4 linked regions of the Notamacropus eugenii genome follow. The protein of the gene in region 1 interacts with the protein of each later gene in a biochemical or structural test. Links are inferred from orthologs where the notes say so. Each region holds a gene or a part of one and is shown on either strand. Other genes may lie near its edges. The genes, in order: RAB5A, RBSN, APPL1 and OCRL.

Region 1 (7,161 bases):
CTTACATTTCACCTCAGCATTGGAGTGCTCATACCTTTGATCTTATCATCCATAAGTCTTCTACTTCCATGTTCAAGAACTCTGAATGTGCTTTATCTGATGATAATTTTTTATCTTTCTATCTCTTCCTATCCCTTATTTTCATCTTAAAATCTATATATCTTCTATTCTGAACTTAACAAACTGTAAATAAAATGGGCAATTCCATATAGAAGAAGAGAAAGAGGAACGTATGTCAGTCTTCAAATGTGTTATATACAACTTTCCTCTCTTTTTTAATAATTAATTTAACATGTTACTTTTAAAGCTATCCTGCAGCTATGTGATTCTGTCTTCTTTTGTACATTCAGAAGTGCTTCAGTGACCTTTTCTCTTTTGGGGGGTGAAAGGGAAGATGCTATCCTATCCCTAGTCTCTTACTCCCTTCCACCCAACCCCAAACTGGAAAAAAAAAAAAAGAGAAATAAAAGCCTTGTAACAAAATTTGCAGTCAACCAAAACACATCCCCACATTGGCCTTGTCCAATTTGTCATCCTGAATCTTGAATCCCTCACCTCTCTATCAGGAAGTGGGTAATGCGTTTCATCTTAGGTCCTCTGAAGGTTGGTCATTGCATTGGCCGTAGTTCGTTTTTTAAAATTGTTTTTCTTTGCAGTGTTGTTGTTTTTGTATAAATTGTAATACTGGTTCCACTTACTTCACTCTGAATCATGCCCATCTTCCAGGTTTCTCAGAAAATGTCCCTTTCATCATTTCTTATGGTGCTATTTCACTACATTCACATATCATAATTTGTCTGGTTATTCCCTAGTTGATGGGTCCTCCCTTTGTTCCCAGTTTTTTGATATAACTAAAGAAGCTGCTATAATTATTTTTGCATATATGGATCATTTTCATCTTTCTTTGATCCCTTTGGATTATAGATCTAGTAGTAGTGTTGGTTTTCAAACTCATTTTTCCTCTCTTGGTTTTCTTCTTACCTGTTTGACTGTTAGTTCTCAGTCTTTTGATGGATTTTAATCTATGTCACTCACACTAACTGTGGGTGTGTCACAAATCTCTGTTCTCCATTGTTTTTCTCTCCATAGTCTTTTGTTGTTGGTCTCATCTATTTCCATGGGTTTAATTATCTCCAAGCAGATGATTCCCAGATCTCCTGAGCTCCAGTTCTGCATCACCAACACTTTGTTGGACATTTCAAATGGGATATACACCTTCCTTCCTTCCTTCCTTCCTTCCTTCCTTCCTTCCTTCCTTCCTTCCTTCCTCCCTCCCTTCCTCCCTCCCTCTCTCTTTCTCTCTTCCTTTAATTTTTTTTTACAATAGCTTTCTACTTGGTCTCCTTTCCTTAAGTCTCTCTTCATTCCAAACTCTTTGCACCTGCTAAAGGGATTTTCCTAAAACATAGATCTGACCACATCACCTTCTAATCATTAGACTCCAGTAGCTTACTGTCATCTCCCAGAATTAAATATTATAAAGTCCTTTGTTTGGCATTTAAAGCTTTTATGACCTGGCACCTTCCCACTTTTTCAGTCTTAAGCACTGTAATGAACTCTGCAACTCATATTTACTGATGCACATGCTGTTACTCAAACACAAGACATTCCATGTTCATTCTTCCCACTTTTGTCCTTGCTGTTCCCCATGCCTTCCTGCCCTGGTATGCCCTCCCTCCCTCCCTTTGACTCTTAGAATCCCTGGCTGCAATTAAGACTCAAGTCAAATTCCACTTCTTTAGGAGTCCTAGCAGCCCCAGCTGCTTGTGCCTTCATCTCTAATGGGCACTTCACCTATTCTCTGTGTGTCTTATATGTAGGTAGTCATTTATATAGTCTCTCCCATTAAAATATAAGTTTCTTGAGAGCAGGAACTGTTTTTGCTTTTTCTTTGTAACTTTTTAGCACTTAGCACAATGCCTAGCACATGGTAATAAATGTTCATTGGCGTGATGGGGACAATTTCTGGGCAAAGATAAAGTGAGGTAGAAGTAATTCTATCATAGGAATATATCACAGACCATCTGAAAAGAATGAGGGAAAAGACAAGGCCTTTAGGGAGTATTAGATGGCTGACATGGAGGTATGACATGTAGTGATGGAAGACTTCAGTTATCTAGACATCTACCAGAACTTTCTGCCCACAGCAGAACATCTAAGCATGCCTTCTAAGCATTTTCTACCTTACCTTTTCATTACAATATGACAATTTCAAACCAGGTCTTCAGACTCCAAATATGGTACCTTTTTCATGGGTGGGAAGCTTGTTCTTTCAGGTCTGGAATCCCTAATGCAAAGGAAATGTATACTAGCTTTATAAAAATGTAGATGCAAATTTAGCATCCTATCCTGTGATTTCTCCCCTCCCATACTGGAAAAGGTGAAGAACTAACCTTCACCAATAAGGAAAACTGATTGTTGGAATGTAATAGAACTGGAGAAGAGATCTGGGTATAGTCTGACATATACCTTAGATTCTGGGAAAGCAGATTTCAATGAGTTCAGGTGAGTTTAGCTGGGAGAGATGGGAAGTTCTCAAAAATGAAATTCTGGAGATATAAACAATTCCAATTAAGAGAAAAAAGAAGGGTTGCTTAAAAAGCTATGCTCCTAAGTGACACCTTTACTCTCTCTAATAGAATCAAAACTATCTGTAACAGGTAGTGAATTGTAGTGCATAAAAGCACTACCCTCGGAAGTCAGGAAGACCTGGTTTTAAATCTAATCTTAGACACTTACTAGCCGTATGATCCTGCTTGCAAGTCACTTAACCACTTTGTGCCTCACTTTCCTCATCTGTAAAATAAAGGGGTTGGGCTTCACTGCCCAAAAATGTCCCTTCCAGTTCTACAGCTTTGATTCAATAGCCCCATATGTTAGATAAGTCATAAGGTGTCGGCACCTTTCCAAGCTCTGTCTCCTTCAGAGGAGAGAAACAGGAACTCAGAGACATCCTGTCCCTGCAGCCGGCAGCCGGCGGGGAGCAGGTAGGTAACTTGCTCCCTTTCCTCTCGAAACCAAAACCTCACAATGGGTCCAGAGCGAGGGGAGAAAGGAGACCTGGCCCGAGGGGGCGGGGCACCCCACGGCCCTCCCCCGTTCCCTAGGTAACCAGTTTAAACAGTTACTCTCCCTTAGTCTCTGGGTCATTTGGTGCGGCCCAGGATTGGAGGGGAGTCCAGACCTGAGACTGCGATCATGGTGCCCCCATCAGACTCCGCGGAGACAGGGAGCCCCCGGGAGAAGGAGGTCTCCGAGGTCTTGAATACCCCCCCGGGAAAAAGGCCGGTTCTCAGCCCAGGGCAAGGCTGCCTCATGGGCTCCGTTAATACCCCGCGGTTGATGTCACTGAAGCTCTCACCTCCTTTGGGCCCCAAGGCCCACCCTATACCGTCTTCGAAATGCTGCGTGGAGGGGCGTAACTGGCCGTACTTGGATAAAGGCGGGGGGCAGTACCGGGAGCTGCACTCTGCGGGGCTTCGCTGCCCCAACCGCCCCAGCCTCCTGGGGGACATGCTGCCCTCAGCGGAGACAGATGCTGCCCTGGGCATGAAGAGTGGTTTGGGATTATCAACCCGGCCCCCCACGGCCAGGTACAGCGAGAGGGACCCGGAGGATCTGCGGAAAATGCGGGAGAAGCTGGCCGCGCAAGCCCCATTCTGTCCGCAGCCCAACATGGGCTTAGTGAACGAGCTCGCAGAGAAAATCTTTTGCCCCGAGAATTTGGGAGCCCCCGAGGAGGAGGAGCCCTTGGGCAGCCCGGAGACTGGACTGCCCAGTAGGGTGATGTGTAACCTGGAGCCCGAGAGCAGGGACCCCATAGGGTTGGTGATAGAGCCGCCAACTTACGACTTCGGGACCAAGCCCGAAGGAGCTCCCCAGCTTCCAAAGGATTTGGAACCCGGAGTGGAGCAGCCAGATAAGCCGAGACCCATTTATTTTGGGAAATTTATTGACCGTAATCCTGCCTTGCCATGTGTGAGTTCTGAGTCCTCTTTCACACCTATACTTTTCTAACTCACTCCTTCCCCTTACCTTTCTCTGGGACCAGTGGTGTACTTAATATGACAACTAAATTAGAACACTGGCTTCCGATTGCGGTTTATGGACACCAGTTATTATTTTGTAGAAACTTTCTATGTTACTCCTTTGCCCCCACATTGGATCTCTGTTTCCTTGGATGCTAACATGATCCATGATTTCCTTAGTAGGGTATAGTCTCTTCGCTGTTGCAGATATCAACCTCTCTATTTCATTTTTGCCCATGTCCTCTCATAATCTCTCCAGGAAGGAGTTACTGGGTGTGTTAGAGTCTTTTCTTTCATCTATGAACCTTTTGAAAGCACTAGCACAACACTTAGGTTCTTTCTGCTATCCCTGACTCTGACTACATGAAGAATCTGCCTCTTCCAATCACATATTTCTTTTGATGATATGCTTTATTAAAGCTCCATAATACACCTTTTGAATGTTGTCTTTCTACTGATCACCCATTTTTGAATGTCTTTGTTCTCCTTAAAATACCCACTAAAGGCTTTTCTCTCTCCAATTCACCCTATTGGATATTTACTTTCCCACTCCTCATTTTCTCAGCATTTTCTCCCCATGTTTCTGAGCTGCCTTTCCCCCATGTCATGCTAATGTTCTCCCTTTTTTTTTCCAGCCCCACTGGTGTGTAGTAGGACATATTTAAGTCTAACCAAAGGAAAAATAGTGTTCACATTGTTAGAGCTCTGGCTCTAGAATCCTGCAGTAGCGTTTGGGTTCAAATACCATCTCTAATGCTCACCTCCTTCATGACCTTGGTCAAGTTCCTAAACCTCCCTGGGCTTCCCTTTTCTCATCTGTAAGGTGAGGAGGTTGAACTCCATGGTCCCTTCCAGTTCTATGGTCCTAAAGCAAAAATCCATTCTGGACCCAAGAAAGTGATTGAAGAGATTCTACTTTTCCATTCATTGTTTATTTTGAGATTGAAGAGATTCTACTTTTCCATTCATTGTTTATTTTGAGATTATTATTAGTGACATTATAGTCTCCTTTTCAGGGGATATGATATGACTTGATTCTATGAAGATATACTAGTATATATGTGTATGTATACATTTGTTTCATTTTATTTTTTACTTTACTTGGGATTGTAATTCACTTGAAAACACAGGCCCAGGCCAAGTTCCAAAGTCACTTTCATCCCTAACTGTGCTGATCCTTTTAGTTTTCATCTCTTACTTTTTTACCTTTTTTTTTTTCTTCTTTAGGCAGGGAAGCTTATTCCAGTTGGAGACAGAGCTGAAACCTGTTTAACTGAAAAATGGCCTCCAGTGAGTATTGTCAATAGATACTTGCTTATTTCTTTGCCTTAGATAGGACCTTCAAGACAATTTAGTTAACTCTTTGTATTCTCCCTTAAGCTTATATAAAATGGGTATTGGAAATATTTAGAGGCTTTCCTCTTCTAACAGTTTGGTGAGAGGTGAAAGTGATATGAGGCTTCCAAATATACTAGAATTCAAGGTGTAATGGGAAAAAGCACTGGAGGGAGGCCTGCATTCTAGTTCTGGCACAAACTACTTAACCTTTTAGGACTTAAATTGATTTATCTACCAAATAAAAGGATGGAATTAAGTAGGGGTGGGGAACCTGCAGCCTCGAGGCCACATATAGCCTTCTGAGTCCTCAAGTATGACCCTATGACTCAATCCAAAGGGTCATACCTGAGGACCTATATTTGTTCTGTGAAGTTTGGATTCAGTCAAAGGGTCACACTTGAGGACCTAGAGGGCCACATGTGACCTCCAGTCCACAGAATCTCTACCCCTGGATTAGAGCGTTGTTAAATTCCTACCCAAATCCAAACTACTGTAAGCCAATGACCTATAGTGGCAGTCCCAGTGTAATGGAAAGAGAAGGAAGATGGAAGAGAAAAAGCATTTTATTAAGTACCTAGGAACAGTGTTAAGTGCTTTACAAATATTAGTCAAAAGACCTCATAGGGATCAAGTCTGACTCTTGAGGCCTCTAACTGTATTATGTTGGGCTAGTCATAATTTATCTGACCTTCACTTAAAAAATGCAAATTATAATGTTTTCAATACCATCTCAAGGGACTATAATCCAGAAAGCTGGATACTAATGCCAGCTCTTGATAGTAACCATTACTAAGTAAATTCATGCCAGCTAGAAGAAATCTAATAGTATTTTGTCCTTTGAGATGCTAGTGCCTTTTGAATATTGATTTTCTAAATGCTGCTAATATAATTTGTTTACATGAGAGGTAAAGGGGAGACAAATTGTTAATTGATTTTCAGTAGGATTTTTCAGATGAACTACAACTGATTAGTTCTGTTTGTAGAAGTTAGCAAGGAACACTAAGAAACCACACAGATTCTGGAATCAGAGGACCTGAGTTCAAATCCTGCTTCCAATGGTTACTGCCTGAGTGACTAGACAAATCACCATTCTCTGGGCCTCAGTTTAATCCTTTGGAAGATGAGGGGATTGAGCTAGCTGTGCTCTGAGGTTCCTTCCTGATGGGAATATGTGATCTCATGAGTTCATGATTTCAATAATTGCATTACAAATTTTTTTTTTTTTTTGGTAATGTGACACTACGGATAGAGAGCTGGCCTTGGCTTTAGGTATATTTGGTTTCATGTCTTGCCTCTGACACATACTGATGGTAATCTCCACTTGAAACCTTGACTTGCATATCTGTATGTTCTTGTATTTTTCACTCTCTTGATCATATGCCTCTCACTGCAAAAAGAGGGGCTTGTATTACATGGCCTTTAAGCTCCTATGTTTGATACTTAACAGAAAAAGTTAACACTAAAAATAATTAATTCTATAACTTTTTCTCATAAACAGATTACATACACGTATTATACATAGTATGTATACTATATATAGTATAAGCTCTAAATATATAGTATATATGAACTATAAATATATAGCGTATACTCATACAGACTGTAATATACAATGTTTTGTTCTGGACTTCATTGTGTTTAAGTAGACTCAAAGGGAGTGCAATAGTAAATTAATATTATTGTTAAAAAGCTGTGTTGATGCCTTTTGTTTTCAAACCATTTTCCTCCATCATCCTTGTCTCCCTGTCACAAATTAAAACACCTAACCAAAATCATTTTTGGAAAGATGATAAGT
Region 2 (7,456 bases), about 400 Mb from region 1:
GCATGGAAACTTCTTTGCTGATGTAGTGATGCTAATCAGGCAGTTACTCTACAGTATTTTTTCAAGCAGGTGGAAAAAAAGCTGTTTTAAAAGTATTGAAGTCATCCTTACTAATAATGGAGTAAAGGTTATAGGATGAAATGAACAGAAATTTGCCAGGCAGAAAATTGGAAATATTAATGCACATTGCAAACTCAGCTAGAGGGCGCCACTTTAGAAAGACTGCACCACTTAACTTCTATTGAGTGTCACTAAAGTACTTCCTGGCAAACTTCTCAAAATGGGTGTGGTCCTTCATCAGGAAACTAATTAGGAATAATTCTGTCTTTATTTTTAAATAATCTTTTCTGAAATAACTGAGAGGCCAATCTCAACTCTCAACCACACCTTCCCCTATTTAAGTAAAATTATCATTCTGATGATAAGTAGGTCCATGGTAATAAATCAAAACCCAAAGATCCATACAGCAAGGATGTTTTCTTAACTAACAACTGATATTAGCCACATAACTTTTCCATAAACTCCAGATGTCCCAAATCCAAAATTAGCTCTTTTCAGTTCAATATCTGTTATTAAGCTAGCCTCCTTAAGCTAGCACCATGAAGGCTATGATATAAGGGAGAAATGCGGTATACTCTGACAAGGCTTTTCATTAATCTTTGGTGTCATATTTTCAAAATGTTATTGTTAGCTTCTAAGACTGGAACATTTGTCAACTTAGGTCAATACAAAGGTCATCCTCTCCATCCTATAAAAGATTCCCTGGGACCTCTAGGGGACTTCACAAATTAACTTTTTAACTACATAAAATTAAAAACCCCAAAATGGGAAAAATGGAGGACATTTTAAGAATTCTCAGAGTTCCTTTAAAAGGAACAATGTCTCATTTCATCTATTTTAAATAAATCACCTGAAATACATTGTAGACATAAACAAACTTTTTTGGGGGGGAGGGGTGGGCAGAGTATAAATGAAACTGTCTAAGAGGTTTTTTTTTCTTTTTTTGCCTAACATTCCCAAAAAAATACTAGGATGTTCTGAGTAAATTTTACAAAAATGACACTAGGAAGCAGACAGGTGATACTGTGAGAATAAATCTTACTAGCAGTCTAATATAAAACCCTAGGCCCCATTCACACCATCACTGACCAGTGAATGAATATTACAGAAGTACCTGCTGTATAAAGTATAAAAACTGCTAGCATCCACACATCACTACATACTTCTTTGTAGAGCAGAGAGATGCACGTTGTAAACCAGCATTAGGGGCCCTAAACCAAAACTGCCACATGAAGGATGTTACTGATCATATTTTCAAAGCCTTTTTTTCTTCTCCCAGCAATTCTGTCTGGTCCAGTTGTGCTTCATGACCCTACCTAATACTTCTCTGTTTTGGATATCTGAAGCCCAGTCTCCTAGCCAGTTTCCTATCCCTTGTGCCACGCTGCCTATGTTCCGCTCAGGAATATATCTGCCTTTTCTGCATTCCCATCACCACCCTATCTTTCCCCCAAACCCCATCATTACCCTATCCAGACTCTTAGTGTAAAACTATCATCTCATTTCCTCTTGCGTGCGAGCTGTCACTGATGAAAACATCAGGAAAGTGGCCGAGGGATTCCACTCTCCAGGCAGCCTGTCTGCGCAGTGCCCCGCAGCCCAGTGCACCCAGCGGGCAGGCCTCTTACTTTTTATCTGCCCTCTGACATCCCTGTCCTCGCTGGAGTGCTCTTCCTCATAATGGGACTGGAGCTGGTAAAAAGACTGCAGGTCCTTGAGGCACAGAGGGCACAGGAAGCCCTCCCTGACCTCGCCAGGGTCATCCAGAGAGGCCATGGTGGCCTGGCACTTCCAGAGGACAGGTCACTGCATGTCCAGGAGGGAGCCGGCCTCTCAGCAGCGCAGCTCGCCCGGGGCCGGCTTACACAAGGCAGAGGCTGGGGAAGGGCATGGCCCCCCGGGGGGGGTTTCTGGTCAGCCACAGAAGGAATCCTGCAAATAAACGGGAAGAAAGCCAGGTGAGAGGGGGCCGGACACCTGGGCTGCATCTGAACTCGGGGCAAGCTCCACCACGGGCACGGCCTCCCACTGTGCCCCAAGGACCCCCCCCCCCCCCCAAGAGCTTTGATTTGGGCGTGCTCTGCACCGACAGTTACTGTAACTGGACATTTACAAGTCTCGGCACTGTCGCCAAAGTCGTTTTGGCCTCCAAGTCCCAAAGGTTTTGGGGGCCCCCAGCAGACCCCACTTTTGAGAACCCCTGGTGTGGACTTGACCCCACCCAAATAAATAAGAGGAAGGCTTTTTCAGTAAGAAACACATTCTTAAAGCACCTGGAACTTGGAAAGATAAAAGCGCGCTTAAGCCTGCACCCCGCACCCGCACCCCGCACCCCGAGCGCTCGGGGAAGCGCGGCGGGCCCGGGGAGCCCCTTCTGCCTCCGGGGGCCCGGAGTCTGCCCCGGCCGGCCTCAGACCCCTCGGACCGGGGCGGGCTAGGCCCACGGCCGCGAGGCTGGAGGCGAAGCACCCCCGGACCTCGGCCAAGGGGGGGCCCCCCATTCTCCCACGGAGGTCCCCGAGGGACCTCCACCCCCTCCCCAGGATCCGCCCAGGGAAGGCTGCAGCGCTGAATGAGGGGTGACTGACGGACCCCCCCCCCCCCCCACACACACACACACAATAAATACCCTCCCCCCCACACACACACACCCCCGCGCCGACACGCCCCCTCCCCTTTCTCCTCCCAGAGCTCCCCTCCCCCCCTCCAGCCTCACCTCCCGCCCCCCGCGGGTCCCTCCTCCCTCCCCGAACGGCCCGCGATGCGATGCGGGGCGGAAGGAAGGGGCGCACTCAGTACCGCTGCAGGCCTGCGACCAGTGCCGCCCACGGGGCCGGGGGCTCGCCCCTCCTCCGCCTCTCTCCCCTCACTGGGCCCGGGCGGCCATCACGCATCCATGCCCTCGGCCCTCGGCAAGAGAGCCTGCGCGGCAGGCAGGGCAGGGACGCATTCATCGAGCACCGAGTTATCGAGCCACCCCAGGCAGGGAGGGAGCGAAGCTAGTGTCTGCGTGAGCTGAGCCTCTGCGCAGGCGCCGCGGGAGAATTGGAGACGAGGCGTGGGGAAGGAAGAGGGCGGGGAAGAGGGAGACCAGGCTTGTGGTCGCCGCCGGCCCCGCCCCCCAGGGGCAAGGCAGAGCAAAAGACAGCCCCCCCGCCCCGCTCCTGTTAGAGATCTACACACACAGGCATCTGTAATTAAGTGGGCATGGGTTCTCCTTGTGTAGTTCATTGATTACATCTAGGTTATAGAGTCATATCCTAATTATATAAGGTTCTCTATGTCATTCTGCAATTGTATATAGGGGGCGGTTATGTAGACATCACAACAGTCCTATATGGTCATGCCGCTGTACTTCTAGTCATGTAAGTAAATAAGCATACCTAGAGAGGGTTACAGTTACAAGGAGTTATACGGATGTACAGTTGTAATAGTTGTAGGACATGTGTGTATGTGTGTGTATATGTATGTACGTATACATGTATCAGACTTGGCAGGGAGTCCTAGCGAGGAATGGAGCTGGGAACAGCAGCAGCAATGGTCGTTGGCTGCTGAAGACTTGTGCATCACATGACCTCATCCCCAATACTGTCTTCCCTTTACCTAAACCAATAAAACTTCATGGATGCGCCCTTGCGGCAGATACTGGCATCTAATAGACTGTGTGATTGTAAGGAGAAGAGACAGACAAGATGTGAGAGTGACAAAGGCAATGTGTGGTGCAGAGTGCTGGACTGATCATAGACTTATCCTTTCCAAGCCAAATATTCACATTCATCAAAACCGCTGACCCCAAGGAAAAATGACTACCAGAAGAATTAGTGTCAACAAATTAGAGTTCTCTGAGCGTGAACAGTTTGTTGCTAACTTGGAGGGAAAGTTGAGCCACACATAGTTGGCAACAGTGGAGCAGAAAAGGAGTGGGCAGCTTTCAGAGATTTGGTGTACAGCACTGCATTTGCTCTTCTGGGTCAGAATATTCACAAACACCAAGACTGGTTTGACGAAAATAATGAGGAAATTCAGAAGCTGCTAAACGAAAAACGAGAACTCCATAGGATTTACCAGCAGGATAGTTCATCCAGCTATAAGAAGGCAGCATTTAATTTCATCAAAAGTAAAGTACAAGCAAAGCTTAGAGAGATGCAGGATTCCTGGCTCAGTAGGAAGGCAGATTAAATTCAATTTTATGCTGATAGTAACAATCCAAAGTGCTTTTATGATTCCCTGAAAGCTATCTATGGACCAAAAACCTATGGTGCATCACAACTACTCAGTGCTGATGGAGCCACATTGATTAGTGATAAGGACATGATCGTAGAGAGATGGACTGAACACTTCCTTAGTGTTCTCAACAGACCATCATCAGTCAATGATGAGGCCATTGACCCTTTGCCTCAGGTTGAAGTCAATCCCTCCTTAGTTGAACTTCCAACTGAAGAAGAGGTTTTGAGAGCCATTAGGCTCCTTTCATGTGGCAAGGCACCTAATGCTGATTCTATTCCAATTGACATTTACAAGGTAGGGACACCATTGCTCATACAAAAACTGACTGAAATTTTCCAGGTTATATGGCAAGAGGAGGTTATTCCCCAGGAGTTCAAGGATGCCTCCATTGTCCATCTCTATAAAGGAAAAGGAAATAGATTGTCCTGCGACAATTACAGCGAGATCTCTCTCTTAGTCGTTGCTGGCAAAGTTCTTGCTAACGCCTTCTTAATAGGCTGATCTTTCACCTGGAAGATGGTCATCTACCTGAGAGTGTGACTTCAGAAAGGGCTGAGGAACAGTTGACATGGTGTTTGCTGGCCAACAACTCCAGGACAAATGCCAGGAGCAGAACAGAGGTCTATATACAACATTTATAGATCTGACCAAGGTCTTTGACACTGTTAGTCATGAGGGCTCGTGGAAAATTATGTCAAAATTTGGTTGCCCAGAGAAGTTCATCAGTATTGCACATCAATTTCATGATAGCATGTTTGCCCGGATTCTGGATAGTGGACAATGCTCTTGTGCCTTCGCAGTCACCAAAGGAGTGACAGGACTGTGTAGTTGTTCCCATGCTTTTTAGCATGATGTTTTCAGCCATGTTGTGAGATGCTTTCAGTGGGGATCAACACGACATCAAGGTCAACTACCATACTGATGATAAGTTCTTCCATTTGAAAAGGCTACAAGCCAAGACCAAAGTGGAGAGAGTGTTGGTGCATGATTTTCTGTTTGCAGATGACTGTGCATTCAATGTAGTCTCTGAAGCTGACGTACAACAAAGTATGGATTAATTCTATACTGCCTGTGCTAATTTTGGCCTAATAATTAACACCAAGAAAACACAGGTGCTCCATCAGCCACCACCACACCATCCATTTGTAGAACCATTGGTTACAACAAATAAAGAAGTTTTGAAGGCTGTGGATAAGTTCACTTACCTTGGTAGTGTACTTTCCAGGGATGTACACATTGACAATGAGATTGACATGAACATTGCCAGAGCTGGCTCAGTGTTTGGGGGTCTCCAAAGAAAACTAAGGGAGAGAAGAGGTATTAGACTGACTACCAAACTGAAGGTCTACAGAGCTGTTGTGCTGACCTCATTGTTGTATGCCTGTGAAACATGGACAATCTACCAGCGCCATGACAGAAAACTGAATTGCTTCCATTTGGACTATCTTAGGAAGGTTCTGAAGATCACCTGTCAAGATAAGGTACCAGACACTGAGGTCCTTGCTCAAATTAAAGTGCCAAGCATTCAAACTATGCTTCAGAGAGCGCAACTCCAATGGTCTGACCATGTTGTTTGAATGCAAAACGTACGCTTGCCAGAAAGACTATTTTATGGAGAACTTGCATGGGGCAGGTGATCACATGGTGGCCAGAAGCAACGACACAAGGACACCCTCAAGGTCTCTGTCAAGAACTTTGGATTTGAGTGTGCCACATGTGAGACACGGGCACAGGAATTGAAACAGCACAAAGGAAACATAGGACTCACAAATTTGGAGTAGACACTCCAAATGTTCACACAGATTATCTGTGCCCAATGTGTGGTAGGGTATTCTGAGCTTGTATTGGTCTGATCAGCCACAGTCGGACATATTGAAACTTGACTTTATCACAGTGATGTCATTTTGGTCCTCCAAGAATGAAGGAGAACAACCAATGAGTTATATATAAATCTAGTCCATGTCATTGTAGTTATAGTTATGTAGGTATACAAGCATATATATATATATATACATATATATATGTAGTTATGTCATTGTAGATAGCTCTATAGATATGTATAGTTAGATATATTTTCAGGTGTAGTCATATAATTATCTATAGTCCTACATATAGGTGTATGCAGTTAATTGTTCAGTCAGTTCCACCTCTTCATGACCCCCATTTGGGGTTTTCTTGGTGGAGATACTGGAGTGGTTTGCCTTTTCCTTTTTCAGGTCATTATACAGGCAAGGAAACTGAAGCAAACAGGGTTAAATGACTTGCCCAGGGTCACACAGCTCGTGAGTGTCTCAGGCCAGATTTGAACTCATGAAGAGGAGTTTTCCTGACTCCAAAGTCTAGTGCTCTCTCCACGGTGCCACCCAGCTGACCCTATGTATATATAATTATATAGCAGTGGTTATATAGTTACCTAATTATGTAATTATGTATAGATATTTAATTACATATAGTCCTATATAGTTATATAGTAGTCCTTATTTGGTTATATATAGTTATGTAGCTCCATAGTTATGTAAATATACGGGCATATTTAGGTATATAGTTATTCATAGTTTTGTAGTTATATGGTTATATTTGTTCTATGGTTTCTATAAATCTATAGTTATATATACAGGTATATAGGTATATAGTTATATATTATAGGTAGTTATATAGTTATAAATAGATATACGGTTACATAGTTTTATGTATAATTGTAGTTGCATATGTATAAATGCACATACATAACTCTGTGTGTGTGTACATACATGTACACATACTGGTCAGTTTCATTTCTGGCCTAGAGTCTCATAAATTTGTCTCCATCTCTTCTGCTCTTTGGGAGGTCTTTCTGGGCCACTTTGGGCTCTACATCCTATGATCCTGTGACCCCTTGTAAGCAGCTCCTGGCTCACTATAACTGACTAGAAGCTGTTTGCCCCTCACTGAACAGGAAACTTTAGGTCAGGCCTTTTCCCTGTTACCCAGATCTAGAAACATCAGCCTATATTAAAGAGCATCTGATTGGCCCAGCTCCAGGCTGACCCTGTCCATTCCAGTGCCCTTTCTGAGGCACTTTCCATCTTTAAACCTGTAACAGACAGACATCAAGTGACTTCAATTCACATTTCTCACGGATTCACATCTTCCTATAAGGTGTTTCCCTAAAGAAAACAGCTTCTTTTCA
Region 3 (6,849 bases), about 430 Mb from region 1:
ATGCAAATCCCCATAGCTTTGGAGTTCATTAGGGTTTAGCCCTTGAGGTCCCAGGCCTACAGCCCAGAAAACTCCTTAGAATGTCACCGGTTGCCATACCTGCCTCCTCTCTAGCCCTGGGCTTGCTTCTCTGCCGCTGCCTGCACTGTGCCCCATACAGTTAGGCTTGGGCAATCCCAGGTCCCAGTGAGCCAGCTGCCCCAAGCACATTCTTTTCCTAGATAGTCTTTGTCCCACTGCCCCTGCTGGAAGCCTGGGGCATGAGGAGCCTGGTACTGCTAAAGTCGTTTAGAAGACTAAATCTCTGACTCAAGACCACCCAACCTGGCATGAATCTGCCCCATCCCACTCCCAAGCACTCTGTAAAGAGCTGAAAGGGACGTTAGAAGTCACCTAGTCCAACCCCCTTATTTGACAGATAAGAAAACAGAGGCCTGGAGTCAGGGAGACCTGAGTTCAAATCCTACCTCAGACACTAGCTGTGTGACTCCAGGCAAGTCATTTAACCTGTTTGCCTCAGTTTCCTCATTTGTAAAAAGGGGATAATAATAGTATCTACTTCTTGTTTCACCTGTAGCTCCAAGATGTAACATGTGCAGTGGCCACACCCCAATAAACCTGTCTCAGCAAATGGGCTAAACCAGATTGAGGGTAACCAATGGACCTCCAACCCATGGTGAGTTAGGATAACTAGCCCAAGCACGTGAAGATTTCCTCTGGCAGAATGGGTACATGGGTACAATTTGTTCCAAGGGCCATGAAGGTGGCTAAAGCAGGAACTGTGGAATGGTTAGAGCCTGGTCAGACATCCAAGAGGCCACGATCATCTGCCACATCCCTAGCGGTCTTGACTTTTGTCTTTGCCATTGATTACGCAGGAAGAAAGAGTGAAGCTGATAATGGTGACTCTTGTAAATCCAATTCACTCCATGATCTCATTGGTCCTCTTTGAAAAAGAGGGGGGAACAACAAACTCTATATAAAAAAATGTTAACGATGATTCCAGATAACATTCATAGGAATCTTGAACAAAGAAGAGATCTTAATATGATAAAATAATTTAGAATTAACATTCTATATTAATACAGTCATTACTCATTCCTTCCCTGAACACTTCCTGAAGAACTGAAAGGATTTCCTTCTGGCTATCAACACCTTACACTCAACTGCAGAAGAGGGCCAGGGGCATCCATAGATGGGTCATGTCCTTAATGCAATCACTCAGGGGGTATAAGGAGGCAGTTAACTTACCCAGTCCGAACTTAAATTTGGTTATTATTCTTAATCTAGTTCCCTAAGAAACGCCTTAGCTTTTTTTTCCTTACCTACCCTCCTAAAGAGGGAAGTCTGGAAAGGGCTTTAGGCTATAGTAAATAACCATTTCTTAATATTTTCAGTTGACTCAGAAAGAAAGTTCTTAACCTGCTTCTACAAGTCCCTTCAAATTCTCACTTAAGCCTCTTTTGAAATGCTTACATCACCACTGGCAACCTGAAATGGCCCTCAATTGAATATTATTTGAACTATAAAAATCCATCCTCTCTGTAACAGCCCCTCTAAGAATGGAGATCTGCCTCCCCCCCAAAAGAAGCCAGAACCCTGCAAATGGCTCTCCAGCAGGGGCTACCTTCTGCCATCAAAGAAACTCCCCCTCCACCCAACTTTGCCCATGAAAAAGTTGACCCTTGCCAGGATGCTGAAAAGGTCCACAGTCATGGCTTAAAGACATGATAACAATGACTGAATCTCAGAGCTGGAAGGTCTCTCAGCAGTCACCTCATCCAACCCACTCCTGATCTGTAATTAATTCCCTTGACACTACCCCTACCAAGTGGTCCTCTTGCTGGAAGCCCTGGAGAATGAGAGGCGCCCACCACCTCTAGAGGCAGTGGTCTGTTTCCGGACAGCTCTGCCTGAATGAGCTACCCCCAAATGACCTCTTGGTTCTCCCGAGCAAGGCTAATCCTCCTTCCAAGAGAAGAAGCCTTCGATAATCTGAAGACAGCTGTCAATCAACATCAATCAAATAATCAATAAACATTTATTAAGCACCTTCTAGGCACCAGGCACTACGATAAGCACTGGGGATACAAAAAGAGGCAAAAAATTGTCCTTGGCCTCAATGAGCTTACGATTTAACAAGGGAGACAACAGGCAAACAAATCTATACCAAGCAAGCTAACACAGGGAAGGCACTGGGAAGGCTTCCAGTAAAACAAGGAACTTTCCTGAGGAAGGCATAGAAGCCAGAGTCACGTCCCATCCTCAAGTCTTCTGTTCTCCAGGGGAGTACCCCCAGTTCTTTCTGCTGATCATCTCCAGCTCGCACAGTTGTCCCAGTCACCTGGGGGGGGGGGGGGCACTCCTGGGACGCCATAAGCCCAGCAAACACTTGCCCTATTTCCTTTGGTTTTTCCATTTCATTGTAAACTCCCTGAAAGCAGGGACTGCCTTTTGCCTACTTTTGTATTCCCTGGGCACTTAGCATAGTGCCTGGGGCATAATCCATGCTGATCCATCGAATGATTGATTCTCCCAGCCCATCAGACCTTCTAGGGTTATAGGGGTGCCCGAGGGCTACACTGCCAGGGTTTTCTGACCCCTTGGCACAGCCAAGGGTGTCTTTAGGGCCAAGCCCTCAGGCAGTCTGCCCCAGGAGTTTCCAAGGGAAGAGTGGCCTAGGTAACCAGGCTTCCCAGGGCCCCACCGTGCCATCTCCCTGGGCTCAGTCGGGGAAAGCCAATCAGCATCAATTAAGCACCTGGTGTGTGCCAGGCACCGAGCTGCACCAAGGTGAGGTAAGAGGAAAGCAAAGGGCACGCTGGGTGGTCTGGGGGCACGGCCTGGCACTGCTTGCGGCAGAGGGGGCAGGGGCGGGCAGGGAGGCATCCCAGCCAGTGAAGGAGTGGAAAGCAAAGGGCAGGAAGGCAGCCGGGCCCACCACGATCCCGTGCGTGCCTCAGTTTCCTCCCCTGTAAAACGACCCCATCTCCGGGGCGTCCTGAAGACGGAATGACGCGATGCTACCCGCAGGCAGCCCCCTCCTCCCTCGGGTGCTCCCCAGGGGGCCGGGACACCCGGCCGGCCCGTCCCCAGCCCCCACCCCGGGCCTCCTCCCGGAGAGGAGCTGGGGAGCGCCCGGTCCTGAGCGGGCGGCCGCCTGTCAGCGAGCGCGCCGGACCGACGGACTGATGGACTGACAGACGGACTGATGGACGGACGGACTGACCGAAGAGGTAGCCAGGCCTTGCACCCCCGAGGGCAGGGGCGGCCCCCAGCCCCGGAGGCCCTGAGGTCCAGGCGGGGTCGGGGCGCCACTCCTCCACGGACCCATCGCGGACTCAAGCTCGGAGGAGTGTCCCTCCACACCCGCCCAGGGCACGGCGTGGGGCACGGGGCAGACAGAGGCGCGGAGTCCGCGCCCCACGGCCCGCGCGTGGGCAGCCCAGCAGGGCTGGCAGCGGAGGGTGCTGAATGACGGGGGAGCGCCCGGGTCCCTTCCGGAGGTGAAGGGGGGCCGCGCCCCCGGCTCCCGGAGCATCCCGAGCCTCGGACCCCGCCTGGGCCCCACCTCCCCGCCGGGCGGGGCGCCGGGAGGTCCTTGGGCTTGGGGTGGGGGCGGGGGGGAGGAGGGAGGCTCGCGCCCGCGCCGCGGGAGCGCGGAGAGCATGCCCCGCCCCCCCTCGCCCCCCGCCCGCCTCTCCTCCGCTAGGCCCAACGTCTCGAGACCGCCCGCCGCCCCCGCCCTTTTTGCTCTAGCAGACTGGCGTGGCCGCCAGCCAATGGACGGCGCATCTGGCCGGGCCTGGCCAATGAGGGGCAGAGGGGCGGGATTTCCCCCTGCGGTCGTTCCCCGGGATCCGAGGCGGCGGCGGCGTCCGCGGCTGAGGAGGCGGCGGCGGCGGCGGCGGACGGGAGGACGGACTGACGGACGGGCGGGCGGGGCCGGATCCGGTTCGGTCGGTGGCGCGCCTGCGAGGGCGGAGGGTGCTCGGGCTGCGGCTGTCGCCGTCGTAGTCGCCGTCACTGTCGCCGCCGCCGCCTTCTCCTCAGCTCGGTCCAGACCCGACCCGGGCCGGGCCGCCCGCCAGCCGCCATGCCGGGCATAGACAAGCTGCCCATCGAGGAGACGCTGGAGGACAGCCCGCAGGTGAGGCGGCCCGCGAGGCCTAGGGAGGTCCGGGCGCGGCGGCGGCAGCGCTGCCCCCTCGGCCCCCAGGTGTCCGGGCCCGGCCCCTTCCTCCCGCCCCCCGCTGGGCTCCGGAGCCCGGCGCGCCCCTCCTCCTCCCTCTCCTCCCGCGGCCGTGAGGCCCCGAACCGGGGGGTTCCCTGGGCCCCCGCGAGGCCCGGGCTGCGAACCCAACTTTGGCCGAGAGACGATGGGGGAGGGGCGCCCGCGGCGGCTGGACCTCCCGGCCGGTCCGCGTCGTCAGCCCCGGGGGCAGGCCCCCACCGCCTTCTCCCCACTTTTCTGGGGTGACCCGAACCGCGCCCCCGCGCCGGGGTAGACCCGCTGTGACTTTGTGCCGTGGGGGCGGGTACCCCGCCTGGTGGTTGGGGAATGTTCGGGGGCTGGGGGCCCCCCCGAGCGAGCCTTCATCGAGCTCCTGCTGTGTACCCCGTGCTTCGGGCCGCAGCGCCGCTGCCGCCGTTATCCGCGAGTCACCGAGGAGGAAACTGAGGCAGGGGCCGCCTCCCCGCCCCCTCCTCGGGCTTGCCGGTAGCCGGCGGCGCGCCAGGTGCGCGCGTACCTGGGCGGTGCTGGGGGATGGGCCGTCCCGGGGGCCTGTTGCCGTGGGGACGGTCCCAGCAGAGCCGAGACGTCGTCGGAACGCGGCCCTTGGAGCGGATCTCCTGAAGGAGTGGGATGCCCTCGGATCGGGCGGAAACGCTTTCTGGAGCCTAGAACCTGCCCCCATGACGGGGTTTTGTAAGCCCGCGTCAGTGCCAGGAAAGTAGTTTGTACAGACCCGCTGCCTGCCTGATGATGCGTTTCTGGTCCGCTTCTACCGATGCGAGGGAAGCAATCTCCTGAGTTTATGGGGTGTCCTGAGTAACATTCCTATCTGTCCAAACCTCTCTGGGTTCAGTCTGCTATTAGTATGTAATGTGTAACGTAGTACATGATCAGAATTTATAGAGGGATCTGTTAGGATCATATGAAGGCAGTGCTGCATAATGGATAGATAAGTGGTCTTGGAGCTGGAAAAATTTGGATCCAAGTGCTACCCTCTGACATCCTGACTGAGGGACTTTGGGCAAACCCCTGGACCCCTGCCTTGGTAAAGGAAGGTCTTCTCTGGGAGCTCCTGCCACACATTGAATCAGAGGTCTCTATCCCTATTGATAATCAGCAAGCATTTATTAAGCCCTCCTTAATAAATGTGCCTTGCCCTGGAGATACAGGTACAAAGACTGAAATAATCCCTCTTGGCTGTGGAGAAAACAACAAGTACAAATATAAGTGTATGCAGAAGAAATACAAACTTGTTGAATACGATTTCACGTAGAAAGTGATACCTGAGCTATACTGCCTCGAAGGAAGAGAAGGATTCTCTGAGGCCAAGATGAGGAAGGCATGCATTTCAGGGATGGGGAGCAAACAGCCACTTTGGTGGCATCACAGAGTGCAGGGAAGGAAATTACATCTAGTGAGGCTAGAAAGACAGCTTAGTCCTTGTTTGTGGAAAAGCTAAGGAGGATTTTATATTCTAGAGGCAATGGGGAGCCACTGGAGTTGATTGAGTGGGAGGGTCACAGGGCTTACGGAAAATCACTTCGGCAGCACTGTGTAGGGTGAGGAGAAGTAGGGAGAGACAAGGCAGGCTTTTGTAATAAGCAGGCAAAAGGTGACCAGAACCTGAACTAATACTGGTAATAGCTAACATTTGTTAATATTATAACAGCTAGCATAGCACCTTGCTAGGCACTGTGCTAAGTATTTTACAGATATCTCACTTGATCTTCACACCCCTGAGAAACTGAGGCAAAAGAGAATAAGTGACTTGCCCAAGGTCATACCAAAGGTACTAAGTATCTGAGACTACATCTTCCTGACTCTAGGCCCAGGCACCTATCCACTCTCTCCTTCTCACTCCCTGAAGCTGCCTACTAAGGTGGCAGCTGTATAAAGTAAAGAGAAATAGTCTCAAGAGATGTTAGGGAGGTAGAAACAGCAGGATTTGGCATTTGATCGATTGATTGGCTGTGTGGGTTGAGGGTGAGTGAGCAGTATAGCATAATGCCAGTGTGAACTTATGAGAAGAAAACAGAGAGCTTGGGGGGGACAGATAGTGAGTTCAGTTTGGGGCCTGTTGGAGATGCCCCTAGGACATCCCACTTGAAATGTGTACCAGGTAGTTGGTGATTCCGAACTGAAGCTGAGCAGTGACATGGAGCTGATGAAATCACCGAGAGAGAAACTAGAAGGAGATGAGAAGAGAACTAGGAAAGAACTTTGGGGAACACCCACAGGTAGGCAGTGTGACATGGATGGGGAATCAGCAAAGAAAATGGAGGGGAGATCAGACAGAGATGAGAGCATACCAAAGAGGAGAGCATGCTCAGCTGTATCTAATGCAGTACAGAAGCATAAAGATGGAAAAAAGACCATTTAAGAGATAGTTGGTAACTTTGGAGAATAGCTGCAGGTGAGTGATGAGGATAGAAGCCCGAATGTCAAGGGCTAAGGAATGAGAGGAGCAGAAGGGCAGGCAGCAGGAGACTGCTTTACCAAGGAGTTTGCCTGAAAAGGGGGGGGGGGGGGGGGGGATAGAGGATGCTAACTTGAGGGAATGGTCAGATCCAGTGAAGGTTTAAGAATGAGGGAGACTTGGGCATGTTTGAAGG
Region 4 (6,903 bases), on another chromosome or scaffold:
CTTGGCACAGGTAATGCTGATGACTGTGGTCACTACGAGAGCTATTTTGAGTACGGATAAGGTGGCAATGGTATGAAAGCTGGCAGCCACATGGTCAGCTCACTAGAGTGTTCTTTTGATCAGTCATTGATAATTTATCAAACTCCCACTTCATGCTGTTCGAAGCTACTAAGAGTATTTGTCCCCAAGTCACTCAGAGGGAGAGTTATTTATTAGTCCTAGCTTAGTAGGAGGGGGAAGCACCAGGAGACCTGGGCTTGAGTCCCAAGCTCTGATACTTACACTGGCCATGTGACCCCTAGGTCAAATTATTAAAGTGGTAATGTCTAAAGCCACTATTCTGGCATCAAAAGCCTCCATTTAAAGGAGTTCCTAATTTTCTCATCAACGGTTGCAAGTGGGGATTAAGTTGTACAGAATTAAAGAAGGCAAAGCCTAGTCTGTTAAAAGTAACAAAACAGCATTTTCTAAGGTACTTTTATTTAATCCTTTCCTAAACATTTTCCCATCTATTATCTCATTTTATCCACCATACACTGAAAAGACCAAGCAAGGTGGAGAGCTGCTATTATTCTCACTACCACGACATGGGAAACAAGAGCTTAAAGAGATGGAGATGATATAGTGGAAAAAATATTAAATCTGCATGAGGAGACTGGGGGTTGAATTTTGGCCCTGCCTCTTACTCTGTGACCTTGGGAAAGTCACTTTCCAGTTCTAATCCTCAGTTTCTTCCCCTGAAAAATGGGAATGATGATACTTGCACCATTTATCTTGTAGGGCTGTTGCCTTTAAAGGCAACAAAGAAGTCAGATACTACTATTATGATAAAAGTGAGTGAGGTACCCTCTTTTTGAGCCTGTTTCTTTACCTGTAAAATCAATAAAGCTTCAAACGCTACAGGAATATCAGATGTTATCATTATGTGACTTGTCCTCTTCCTAAGCCTCAGTTTCCTCACTTGTAAAATGGGGATATTTGTATTACCCACCTCACAAGAGCATGAGGGAAGCACTAAATCATAAGGCGATATAAAAAGGCCCAAGTCTTTGGAGCTGGCCCAGAGATGAGTCAGAAAGACCTGGGTTCAAAGTCCCTTCTATAACATAGAAGTTTCATCACCCTGAGCAAGTCACTCAAGATGATCAACTTTCTCAGGATTTAGGATTCAGAGCTGGACTGATTTCTCATGGTAGAGGGAGTTACCTTGTGCAGAGTTCTTTATGAAATCACAAGACCATACAAAAGAGAAAAGGAAGCGGGGGAGATAGAGAAAAGTAATTTGTTCTTATTATTACTAGGATGAAGTGACAAGGCCAAATAGGTCAGTGGCAGAGCAGGGCATTCTTTACTTCTGGCCTTAGTTTTCTGCTCTGTAACATTAAAGAATTGGATTCTTTCTAGAGTTCTTTATCTCCAACTCTGCTACTTTTGAGACCTTTGGTATGGTAGCTCCTCTCTCTCCCGCCATCACTCAGTTTCCTCCTCTGGAAAATAAAGGGGACCTGGACTGTCTCTATAGGGGCCCATTGGAGCTCCCTTCTGGTTCTAAATCTAGGCAGCTAGATATAACCACAGCACCATGCTAGGAGGTGGGGAAAACCCAGGGAATACCCTGGTTTTAATCCTGCCTAAGACACTTTCTAGCCACATGTGACCTTGAGCAAATAATCAATGTTTGCCTCAGTTTCCGTATTTGTAAAATGGGGATAATAACAGCACTTTCCACCCAGGGCTGTTATGAAGATCAAATGAGATAATATTATTGTAATTATTGCAACTATTATCATTACATCTATGATCCTTTCCCTGAGCCCCCCTTATCTCTCAGTAGAATGAGGTTGGCAGTAAGATTTGTAACATGGACAAAGCTCTGGACTTAGAGTCAGGAAAACTTGGATTCCAATCTTGTCTCAGACACTTTAGTGACTCCCTGAGCAAGTCATTTAATGTCTCTAGGCCTCAGTTTCCTCGTGTAAAATGATTGGGTTGGGATCAAAGACCTTTGAGGTTGCCTCTACTCTAAAAAGACGATTTTAGGAATAGAGCCCCTCCCAGATCCTTAATTCTACGGGGGGCGGGGGGGGGGGGCGCGTCCTTATACTGGGGCACAACCCTAGGGGCTCTTAAAAGGGCCTTCCACAGGTTCCCCTCCTGCTCCTCCCCATCCTCCTTCGTCCCCCACCATCCTCCTCCCCTCAATATTCCTCCCATTCTCCTCTCCCCCCCCCACCCAGGGTCCCCCCTCCCCAATTCTCCTACCCCTCCCTCAACCCTTCTCCCATCTCCCGGCCCCGCCCAGCCCTCGGAAGGCACTGCTCTTCACCCTGGGCCCGGGCGCCGCGCCCGGTGGTGGCCGAGGCTGACCGCCTGGCACTGGCGGAATAGTCCCTGCCTGCCGGGGGTACCCAGGGCCCAGAGGATTTCCCTCCTCCCTAGCCCGATCCCGAGGCTACTTACTCAGACTGTGCGCCCCTTCGAGCCAGGATCAAGCGGCAGGCCTCTCGTTCGGGGCCCTTCAACTCCCAGCCCTCGATTGTATGAAGGGGGGACAGTCAAGGAATCCAAGCTCAAAGCCAAGGCAGGGGTGCCTCGGGAGGGGGGCGCGCTCCCGCCCCAGCCCCGCCCGACCCCCGTTTCGGTCACGGCCGCCGCCCCGCCTGCGTGCGATAGCGAGGGCGACAACGACCGACCCCCCTTCTTTCCCGGGCTCCCCCTCCCTCCTCCGCCTCCCCCTTGACTTGGCCCTCGCCCCTCGCCCTTCCCAGAGGTGGATACTGTGAGGAACTGCACTCTGGTCGTGGGCCGATCCATCCGGGCGGGCGAGCGGACCGGCGCCGGGGGTTGTGAACACCGATCGCACGGTGTGAACCCGACCACCCAATCGGCAGCCCTCCTCCGCTTGCCTGACGGCCCGCCAGCCGGGCGGCCCCGCTTCGCCTGGTCTGCCGGAAGAAATTAACAGCTGCCCAGAGAGCTCCCGCGCTCCTACTGCGAGAGAGCGCCCCGAGCGGACAGCAGAGAGAACGAGAGCCAGTGAGCGTGAGAGGGAGCGAGCGCCTCCCTGCGCGCAGGGCTCCGCCCTCCGCCAACGGCGCCCCCGCGTGCTCTAGTGCCGCCACTGCAGAGCCGGAGTCTCGAGCCTCGGCCGCGGCTCCCCGCTGGGAAGCCAGCCAGCCAGCCATCTGCTGAGATCGCAGGCTTTCAATGAAACGACAATGGACGCCCTAGATCATCCTCTCCAACCTGGGGCCCTTCCAGTTATCCGTGCACAGACGAGTAAAAAGAGCTTGGAAAGCCTAACTTTCCTGTTCTAACTCAGCTACTGTATAGCTGGCTGGGTGACCCTGGGTGATATTTCGCCACTCATCCATTGGACCGCCCTAGGCACCTCGAAATCAGGCTGTTTCAAAAGGGCCCATGTGCTTTGGTAGATGAGGTTCCTTCACCAGAGATACACAGATGAAATTATTCATTGGTAGGTTCTCCCCTCCCCCCATCCGCCACATCCCCACCTCCCCAAAAAGTGCCAGGATGGTACTGTGCTAATTAAATTAACCAAAGAGACTTGGAGGAAAATGACCCCGTGGAACCTAGAGGCAAGAATGTTAGCTCTGCAAGACCCTCTGATGTTTACTGTACAGCCTTGTATGATTATGGGGCTTGGGTTAGACAAGGTCTGAGGTCCCTTCCATTTCTAGGATCCAGGATCCCTAAATCTGATCATTTCCATTTTGACAGTCTGTTCTGTGATTCGAATGTGTTTAATGATGCCCTGAGGGCCTTTGAAAAGGCGCGCGCGCGCGCGCACAAGCAGGCGCTCGCCCACCTTTCTCCTCTCCTGCTGCTCAAGTGCCCTCTGCCTGGTTCTTTCCCGCTGTTGTCCAGGGCAGCCCAGTAAACCGGCAATCCTGAGCATTTCCCAAGGCAAGCCGACTTCCCAGCCCTCTGAGCAATGGTGGAGAGAACCCCCACCCTGTAGGAGAGTGTAAACACTTCAGACCCCCCACCTGGGCCCATCGCCCGCCGACTTGAGGGTGGGGAGAGGAAGAACCAGTTCCTTGCTCTGCTCGGTTCCTAGTTTAATTTATTCTGGCTAACGAATTTCTACGGTACTAGAGTGACAACGTTCTGCCAGCAGGTAAAAATGTTCTAGCTTATTTTCTAAAACCATCATCCCTTTCTGTCTAGCACCTCCACCCCCACCCCCAGCTCAAACCACACTTGGGGTACCTCACACCGCTGCATTTATCATCATCTCTTAAATAGCATAGTTATCTGTGTGTGTACTAACCCCCCCCCCCCATTTGAGTTTACATAAATGTCTTTATCCCCTCCTTCCTGCCCCACCCCCCAAACTCTGGTCATATTTATCCCCGCCTTTTCTAATCACTAAGGTCTTGGTGATCCCATCTGGAAAATCCTGTGGAGTCTCCCTCCCCTTTCTTACTGCGCCCCAACACCCACCCATCCACATCCCACATCCTCCCATTACTCAAATTCCCTCCTACCCTGGTCTCTCTCTCTTCTCCTTGCCCCCAGCAACCAGATAATCTTCCCTAAAAACAGGGGGAAAAAGAAAAAGAAACAAAACTGGGCTGTTTTGATGTGGAGGGAGGAGGAAGCCCAGTCTGGAGAAACAGAAATGTCAATGAGTTAAAATCTGACTTGCCTGTTATATGCATAGTAGTGAGCTGGGATTGATACAAAAGAAAGTAATTTAAAAAAAAAAACAAAACAAAAAACCCCAGCAACCTTTGCCTTCCAGGGGCTTTACTGGAGTGGAAAAATAGACACTCAGATCAAGTGTCACAGTTTTCCACATGGGAATCCCTACTCTATAATAATATCACAGGCCTGGCATCCCTTCCCCTCCTCCCCCTTCCCCTTTTATTTATTCAATATTATACCAGTTACAGGAAACTACACCAGTGCAAAAACAATGTGGCACTAAAAAGTTGGGGCACTAAAAAATTTGTCCTATTTGTGTCACACTCAGGGTCATAGGAGCAACATAGCCAGTATGTCTATATGAGGGGTGGTACAAATGGCCTCAGATCCTTTCTTGACTCCAGAACTGACTCTCTATCCATATGCTATGCTTTCCGTAAAAATACATATATAGAACTATTATGGGGATTAAACTCCCTGAATTCAACAGGATTTGTGTTAAAGTCTCAGTTATGTTCAAAGCAGAGTCTGATAAAGTCTTGTCTAGATGGATCATTTATTTTCTCGGAAGGCAGGAAGCAGTGAGGAGACCTGCTTACCACTGGGACTTGAATAAAATGGGAAGTTCTTAACTTTGAAAGGATAAAAAAAAATAACTGCCATTTCTTGACATGAGAATAAACATGGCCTGGATGTCTGTGTGGGAAAAAAGAAGGGAAAAAAGATGGGCATTTTGCCTGAGTTCATTATGAATTTTAACCATGAGATAGACATCTGCGAGAAAGAAAAAAAAAACTGATATATCATCTTGGACTGCAGTGACTTAAAGTGGGGGAGGGGAGCATCCAGAAAAAGGGAGGGAGAAGAATGTCCTAAACTTGTCCTCTACGTTGGTCTCACCACACCTGGAGTATTGTATTTAGTTCATTTTATGGGGAATTTAGGGTTTGACAAATGTCCAGAGACAGCAGAGGGACGTGAGCAGCATCACAGCAGGATTATTGCTTAAGGAGAAGTGAATAGAAGAGATGGGAAAGTTCCAGGAATAGAATTGGACCTCAATATTGTAATCTCTCTGAAGGCAGGGCTTCAACTTGTGTAGATGCCCCTCAATTGAATACAGAAAATTTTCAAATGTTTAAATGCATAGTTATTTAATAACTCAATCAACTGAGTCATAATTGTAACATCAAATGACCCATTAGACTAAGCTGTCCAAAAATGGAAATTTCCCTGTTCCTGGAAATAATCAAAGCAGAGTCTGGGTTGCCCCTTGGTTCATAGATGGTCAAAAAAAAAGTTTTTTGGGTATCTCCAGGGTTGAACTAGTAGATAAAAGTCAGTCCTTTAAAGAATTACAATTCTTGGGGGTAGGGAGTGAAAGCAAGGATACAGGGGAAAATCTAAGTGATATGCAAACCAAAGATATCAACTAAAATTTTTTTAAGAGGTTACATCTATTGGGAAAGATAAGAGGGGCCTAGGTGGCAAAATGGATAGAGTGCCCAGCCTGAAGTCAGGCAGACTTCTTCTGCCTCAGACATTTATTAGCTATGTGACCCTAGGCCTGTTTTGCCTCAGTTTCTTCATCTGTCAAATGAGCTGGAGTCCTTAAAAAATGGCAAACCCTCCGGTTATCTTAGTTGAAAAAAACCCCAAAAACCCAGACACAACTGAACAACAAGACCACAAGGCACAAAATTGTTTAATATAATTAAAATATAGTTAAATATAACTATAATTAAAATATGATTGCAATTACTTAAGATAAGCATTCTTTTTTTTGACACTACCACCCCTATTCACCCCCCCTCCCTCTCTTCCTCCTTCCTTCCCTACACTGTTCCATTCCCACCAACTTCCTTTTCTACACTGGCCTAAAAAGAGCAAATGTAATATTTCTTTAATGGCACTTTAGGAGGCCTCACTCATGAGCTCAATATTTTGCAAAGATGAAGAAAGGACCAAGGATGAAACACAGTGACAGTGTTCCAAGTAGGCCCACCCTCTGCCGTGAGTTGAAGCTGATGGGACACACACAATAGCATTTTAAAGCTATCATCAAGATTGAGGAAAGGATATTTAACATTTTCCCTGCTGCAGCTGCTATGTTAGATTCCTGACAGTTAGATAACTGTCAGATATCAAACTAAGAAGGAAAACCTTAACCGGATCATAGATGTGGAAAGCTAGGGAATAGAGGGGGCAGATCACTTTCGTCAAGACTGCAAT

What was found.
Region 2: the proteins of RAB5A (region 1) and RBSN form a complex in vitro, tested with the Homo sapiens proteins (3 studies listed by BioGRID, with this or other methods). The link is inferred for Notamacropus eugenii from reciprocal best matches to the Homo sapiens genes RAB5A and RBSN.
Region 3: the proteins of RAB5A (region 1) and APPL1 form a complex in vitro, tested with the Homo sapiens proteins (2 studies listed by BioGRID and IntAct, with this or other methods). The link is inferred for Notamacropus eugenii from reciprocal best matches to the Homo sapiens genes RAB5A and APPL1.
Region 4: the proteins of RAB5A (region 1) and OCRL form a complex in vitro, tested with the Homo sapiens proteins (2 studies listed by BioGRID and IntAct, with this or other methods). The link is inferred for Notamacropus eugenii from reciprocal best matches to the Homo sapiens genes RAB5A and OCRL.

Annotation. Positions count from the first base shown.
Region 1 is NC_092874.1:34,215,169-34,222,329, forward strand, and holds the start of RAB5A (ras-related protein Rab-5A), read right to left. Parts: upstream 3,025-7,161; 5' UTR 2,903-3,024; intron 2,288-2,902; 5' UTR 2,189-2,287; intron 1-2,188. Other genes in the region: EFHB (EF-hand domain-containing family member B), read left to right, coding at 3,199-3,978, 5,256-5,318. UniProt on the Homo sapiens protein: The small GTPases Rab are key regulators of intracellular membrane trafficking, from the formation of transport vesicles to their fusion with membranes.
Region 2 is NC_092874.1:431,153,705-431,161,160, forward strand, and holds the start of RBSN (rabenosyn-5), read right to left. Parts: upstream 3,009-7,456; 5' UTR 2,860-3,008; exon of another isoform or gene 2,777-2,859; intron 1,993-2,776; 5' UTR 1,837-1,992; coding exon 1,689-1,836; intron 1-1,688. UniProt on the Homo sapiens protein: Rab4/Rab5 effector protein acting in early endocytic membrane fusion and membrane trafficking of recycling endosomes. Required for endosome fusion either homotypically or with clathrin coated vesicles.
Region 3 is NC_092874.1:467,907,401-467,914,249, reverse strand, and holds the start of APPL1 (DCC-interacting protein 13-alpha), read left to right. Parts: upstream 1-3,826; 5' UTR 3,827-4,096; coding exon 4,097-4,150; intron 4,151-6,849. UniProt on the Homo sapiens protein: Multifunctional adapter protein that binds to various membrane receptors, nuclear factors and signaling proteins to regulate many processes, such as cell proliferation, immune response, endosomal trafficking and cell metabolism.
Region 4 is NC_092879.1:51,288,432-51,295,334, reverse strand, and holds the start of OCRL (inositol polyphosphate 5-phosphatase OCRL), read right to left. Parts: upstream 3,003-6,903; 5' UTR 2,815-3,002; coding exon 2,779-2,814; intron 2,541-2,778; coding exon 2,461-2,540; intron 1-2,460. UniProt on the Homo sapiens protein: Catalyzes the hydrolysis of the 5-position phosphate of phosphatidylinositol 4,5-bisphosphate (PtdIns(4,5)P2) and phosphatidylinositol-3,4,5-bisphosphate (PtdIns(3,4,5)P3), with the greatest catalytic activity towards PtdIns(4,5)P2.